Saccharomyces cerevisiae S288C: one gene and its partner. The protein of the gene in region 1 purifies or fractionates together with the protein of each later gene. This does not show direct contact. Each region holds a gene or a part of one and is shown in the gene's direction. Other genes may lie near its edges.

Region 1 (3,780 bases):
ATGAGTGGGAGCTATGAAAGGCTGAGAGAGAAATTGAATCCATAAAACGTTTTTTTCCGTGTTCTTTTTTTCTTCTTTATCAAAGTTAGTTTTTCAGATATGTCTTTTGTCATTATCACAGGCTAATTATTCCCTTGATGACCAAAATAAATTTTTACAAACTAGAGTTTCTGAATCTTTTGTGATTAGAACGTTTATTCTTATTTCTGAGGTTTTTAATTAGCAATAAAGAAGAAAAAACTGAAAGGAAAAGTCTAAATAGAAATACAGTAGTATTTCTTCAATTTCTCTGCTCTCCTTTCATTTACCACACCCATTTCAATTTTCTTTTTATTCCATATTTATTCAAAGGTGTTTGTTCATATGATGATTATAACAAAAACAAAAGCTGGAATTACTGGCTGAACGAGTATATGTTGATACGTTTTTGCACTATCCTGACCTAGCAAACACCTTTAAAATAAATACTAGAAAGTTGACACATTTCCATAAATTGGAAGAATACATTTAAGCTTAGAAAACAGTAGTTTTTTAGTGCTATTCTTCCGTAGATTGATGTTTTCGATCTATTTGATACAATGGAAATGAGGATCCACAGCACTGGGCACTGAGGGGGAAACAAATATCCTTTCAAATGAGTGACAATGCTTTAGCGGGCCTAGAAAACCCGCGCAACTGATCCATTGTAAGTTTTTCTGAGGGCTAACAGAATTTTCTATAGGGAAGAATGGATTTTTTTCTCATTTTCGTATAATTATGTGAATTGGTTTTTATGATGAGATATTTATAGATGACGAGTCTGATCATTCGTGAAGACACAACTATTAAAATTACCATTCATGCCTTTCTGAAGCTGTTTACATTATTCTTTTCGATTAGCAAAGAATTTGGAAATAGAAAAAAATCGACAGATAACTAGTTCATCAGTTGATGTGTCTGTATTGCTTCCATGTTTTTTAAAGAAAATTTCTACCTTAGAGACGTCAATGCTGCAGAAGATGAAACAAATTACTCAAATAGACAAGCATATGTCTGATCTTCATGATTGAAAAGAGCAATTAGTGTCTGATGCAATTTAAACTAGAAAATTTATCTGAGAGAGATGAGAGATCGTACAAACTGTTTCAAGGTTTTTAACTTTTCTCCAATTTCAAAAATTGTTTATGATGATTTCCACATTTCACGACGGTCAACTGCGTTTTTCGAATGTTTATCGATTAACTTTGATGATATTTCGCCTGTGACAGGGCGTGGTACTGAGCTTTAATATTTTTAGCAAATTTAGAAATTGGGTCAAGCGAACCATTGTAATGCTGACTATTTGGACGACTCTAATCTCTTCAATATATTTGAGTTCAAATATATTAACTTGAGTAAATTTTCTCTTGCGTTAATTATAACTAATTGTGATGTGATGACAACTTCTTGAGCTATATATTTTCTTGAGAACATCAATGAAGAAAACGTCTCATCAAATGATTTGCACGTCAGTCTGATCACAAGCCATATAAAATTCTTTAAGTATTTTATCCATTCTACCTTTTTCATCTGTTAGTGATCGATTAAAGCAACACCCAGACATTACATGGCCCATATGGCAAAAATTTTCATCTCATCTACCTCATCACTGTGTGCATTTAGTGTATGAATGACTACTTTAAGCAATTTAACCAGTATATACGTATAAAGAGGTCAAGTGTACGGATAACCCAAAGGAAACATGCCTTCCGAATCATCCGTCTCTATCTACAAGCTTGATCAGTTGGAGTATCAGTACCATTATTTGACAAAATCATTACAGAAGTTTGAACCAAGATATCCAAAAACTGCCAAATTATACAATTGTATAGGTAAAAAGAACAAAAAGAAAATTGAAAAACTGTTAAACTCTTTAGAGTTGAAAACTTTGGACAAAGAACTAGATGAAAGTTACTCAAAGTTACTCAATAATAAGATTCACTATTACGAGACGCATTTATCAAAATGTATAAAAGAACAAATTCAGAAAATATCCAAAAAAAATTCTAGTAAAGTGAAGGATGCTCAAAAAAATAAATCACCCTCTATAGATATTGAAAAGATGCTTGCTACGCAGTTGTCATTAGATGATTTAGCACTCTTCATGACAAGATTTAGGCTGATCAAAATCTTACACCAGAGGATCAAACAAAAAAGCAAAAAGATTGAAGGTGATACGAATAATAAAACTTGGTTGAATAACAATGATTATAGTGGTTATATCAATGATAAGACAAGTAAGTGGAACCCAAGCAATATATGGAATGAAGTTATTACGAAGCTGCCAAGTTGTGAAAAGTTAAACGCACTAATTGGTCAAAGTAAAATCGTTCAAAATCTAACCGAATCATTCGATTTGAGTATTTGTCTCATATTTGGATTTGATGTAAGCGCTATGAAAGCAAAGAAGTATGGAGCAAGGGAGAAGACGGCCAATGCTAATCAGACGCACTCCAACATTGACTATGACACCGATGACGGCAATGAAAAGAATGCCATCGATAGCAAATCTAATGCGATCGGCGCACAAACTCAAAGCAATAAAGAAACAACGTCCGACAATGAGGATCTATTGATAAAGGAATACGAGGGAATGCTAGGCAGTTCAGGAGATGAAGGGGAAGGCGGCGGATACTTGAACCCTAATATCAATTACAATGAAGTAACAGATGAAGAACCTAGCGAAGCGTCATCCGATGAGGATGACAGTGACGAACGCTTCAGCGACTCTGAAGAGAATGAACCAAGGAGAAAAAAACCAAAATTGCATAATTTACCTGAACTAATGGCTGGTTATTACAGTGGAAATGACACTGAAGAGGAAAGCGATGAAGACAACAAAAATGTTAAGGGAAAGAAGAAAAAGAGAGACACAGCAGAAGACCGTACGGCCAGAGAGCAGATGTCAAACGAGCCAAAGAGGAAAAACAGACGTGGGCAAAGGGCAAGAAGAAAGATTTGGGAAAAAAAATACGGCTCACAAGCCAAGCACGTTCAAAGGGAATTGGAAAAGGAAATGGAAGATAGAAAGCAGAGGCAAATCGAGTACGAAGCAAGAGTAGCTAAGCGTGAAGCTAAAGCAGCATCATTAGAGGCCTCTAGGAGTAGGGAACGCGAAGACAGACGTACTGAAACGAACAATAAGAAAGAAAAAGAAAGTGCATCCACTGGAGAAGAACATCCTTCTTGGATTGCAAAAAGATTAGCTGAAGAAAAATTACAAAAAGCTAAATTTGAAGGTAAGAAGATCAAATTTGATTGAACATAACGTCTTCATCTCCTAACTTCATGTATAATAAAAACTATTAGCACATCTATTTTATATATGTACGCGTATATCTTACATCGTACCGTTATAGCATTTGAATTATTGAGCTTTTGTATCATCTACCGCTGTCATGCTCGCCTTCACGGAACTTAGTTATGCGAAAAAGAATTCAGGAAACCAAAGCTGGCAGGGTGAGTATTTGTTTGTAAAGTCGCACCTTTAGCAGATCATTAGCTGTAGCGTATGGAAGAAAACTAAATGAAATTGTTTATAAAACCTGAATATGATAAAAGAAATCTAAATAATAAATATGATTGCTATATAATAGTTATATTTGAAATGAAGAGAAAGGGAAGAAAATAAAAGTATTCAAAACGCCAACCCTTAATGAAGTAAATATGATTTATTGTCTGGACAAAGTTCTGTTTTTCCCCATTATTCGAAGACTTCTCCAGTAATTGGGTCTCTCTTTTTGAAAGTCAGTAACAAATCAT
Region 2 (2,736 bases), on another chromosome or scaffold:
GTAACTGACGGGAAAGCAGCCAGGAATAAAGGTAAGAACACTACAAGGAGATGTGCTACATGCGGACAAATCGGGCACATTAGAACAAATAAATCTTGTCCAATGTATAGCAGTAAAGATAACCCTGCTTCACCAAAGTAGATTCAGTATAACGATGTATTGATCGAATAAAACTTTTGTAAAGGTTTTGTATAATGTAACAATAAAGAAATGTACACTATGTTTCTAAACACTGGCAGTGATCAGATTGATAATTTATTGAGTCATATCCTTAAACGATGGACGTGGTGTGTGAATGTGCACTTTTGCAGTAAGATGAAAAGTGCATATTATTTGAGTTCCATTAATATAGCCCAACTCACTGATTAAACACAATAATTGTTGTCTTTGTGCTCGAGTATTTAAAGCTTGTATTTTTCCAGTCTGATTGGAAATCACAGAGGTTAAAACATAAAGGACAATAGCAGAAAAGGTTCCCTAATATGCATTTTTCATACTGGTTGCTCTTTTCCTTTACAAAAGCAAATTCTTACTCAAAATTTAATCTTTTTCCCTATAGTAACCTGTTTGTCTTGATAAATATAATATGATTTATGTAGTTTTATTACTATAATTATATCAAAATTTTAATTTGTGTCTATTTTTTCCTCAACTAAGTTACCTTTTTTCATTTATATGCATTTGTGACGCACTCAAAAGTGTGATGCTGTCGTCAATTTTATAATGTTAAGAATATTAAAGCAAAAGTTTCCTAAAGTAATATCTGAAGTGCTCTAAAATCATAGTTTATCAAAAAATGCAACATTTCGAAAGTTCAGATAAGATAGAAAAGGATGATGATACATCAAGAATTAAATTACGCTCTTCTTCTTTGGCCGCTCCAATCCTCGAGGCTGTTCAAGAAGCCCAGCCTTTTGAAGAAGCCACTTTCTCTAACTTACAGAAGATACATCCGTTAACAGAAAACTCAACTTGCAATGGTTATGTTATTTACGATAAAGATGGAAATTTGAAATCCATGAAGGATACATTTGGTAGGAATATAAAAACACCTGATATTTCAAATCCTACAAGAGCAAGAAATGAAAGGCCATTGGATACAATACGTGGATTTGAATACTCCATAACAAAAGATCCCCGCTGGTTGCAAGAGCTAGAAACATCTAAGTTGGGATTTAAACCTAGACCTGGATTTGCCGTCATTAATCAAGACTCACAGGCTTCAATAAATTTATCTCAACTGGAAGAAAAAGTTATGGAAAGCCAAAAAAAAAAGGAGAAAAGACACATATCACGGCTTTCTCGGTTACTCTGCAGATGAATATAAAGATAAGTACGCTAAGATTATAAAAAGTGCTTGAAGCTCAAAAATATGTATTCCTTTAATTTCTGCGGTACCCTATGCCGGAGCACTAAGAAAAACACATTCAAAAAAATTTTCATACTCATCTCATCTCTACAATTAAACAATACATAAAACAAATATCGTGACTTAGTTATTTTACTTATATCATTCAATAAACCTAATCAATCAATGGCTAAATTACAGAGGAAGAGAAGCAAGGCTCTTGGGTCATCTCTAGAGATGTCCCAGATAATGGATGCAGGAACAAACAAAATTAAAAGAAGAATAAGAGATTTAGAGAGGTTATTAAAAAAGAAGAAAGATATACTTCCATCCACAGTAATAATAGAAAAGGAAAGAAATTTGCAAGCTTTACGGTTGGAATTGCAGAATAATGAACTCAAGAATAAGATTAAAGCCAACGCTAAAAAATATCATATGGTGAGATTCTTTGAAAAAAAAAAAGCATTGAGAAAATATAACAGATTATTGAAGAAAATAAAAGAATCTGGCGCAGATGATAAAGATTTACAACAAAAGTTGAGAGCCACTAAAATTGAATTATGTTACGTGATAAATTTTCCCAAAACTGAAAAGTATATTGCACTATATCCGAATGATACACCATCTACAGACCCAAAGGGCGTAGAATTGACAAATCTTAGAAGAGAACAATTTCTTAAATTAGTAGCTGAAAGAATGGATGCGAACACCTTAAACGTATCTTTCGAAGAGATATTGAAGGGAAAGAAATTGGATGAAGATTCCATCGGATTAACATTATCACCTGATAAAGATCATGAGGATGGATCACAAGTATCACCTACACAGGATAGAAAAGAATTGGATCAAGTTGTGGGAGAAGATGAAAAGGATGACTTTTTTGAGTAAAAAAATTCTAAATGCGTTATGTAAGAAAATATATACGAAGATGTATACTAGATAGATTTCCACTGTTATCTTTCACAAAATAATTGTTGTTTTAATTGTGTCTCACTAAGAGATTAGTTTATGGACCATATCATAACGTAATCCTAAAGCGTCATTAATAAGGGAAAATTGCAATTCTTCGCCACGAATTTCTTCGGGAATAAATAGATCACAATGTATTATGACCTCTTTATTCATTTGTTTTGGTTGACACCTTTTAATCATCAGCAGTTCATCGCCTTTGTGTCCAATTAAAAACCATAGTTCTTTTTGTATCTTAGGGAATTTATCACAATATACTTCAAACCCATTATTATGCTTACTAGAAAGGTGCTTGCTATAAAATGTTAACACCTCGTTATTTTCCTGTTCTTCAAATTTCATGCCTTCTAAAACCGGTAATCTTTGGCAGACACTGACGAAACGTTTTTTCGTATCTTCGCTTTCTGTCATTCCAAAAG

Evidence for each region. The genes of interacting proteins can lie anywhere in the genome.
Region 2: the proteins of BUD22 (region 1) and EFG1 purify together in Saccharomyces cerevisiae (affinity purification with mass spectrometry; 3 studies listed by BioGRID). This does not show direct contact.

The regions. Positions count from the first base shown.
Region 1 is NC_001145.3:297,148-300,927, forward strand, and holds BUD22 (Bud22p), read left to right. Parts: upstream 1-1,720; coding exon 1,721-3,280; downstream 3,281-3,780. Other genes in the region: ERG5 (C-22 sterol desaturase), read right to left, coding at 3,722-3,780. UniProt on the Saccharomyces cerevisiae protein: Involved in positioning the proximal bud pole signal.
Region 2 is NC_001139.9:1,037,300-1,040,035, reverse strand, and holds EFG1 (Efg1p), read left to right. Parts: upstream 1-1,534; coding exon 1,535-2,236; downstream 2,237-2,736. Other genes in the region: TAF1 (histone acetyltransferase), read left to right, coding at 1-141; YGR273C (uncharacterized protein), read left to right, coding at 797-1,321; SLH1 (RNA helicase), read right to left, coding at 2,342-2,736. UniProt on the Saccharomyces cerevisiae protein: Involved in rRNA processing. Required growth at elevated temperatures, resistance to hydroxyurea and for cell cycle progression.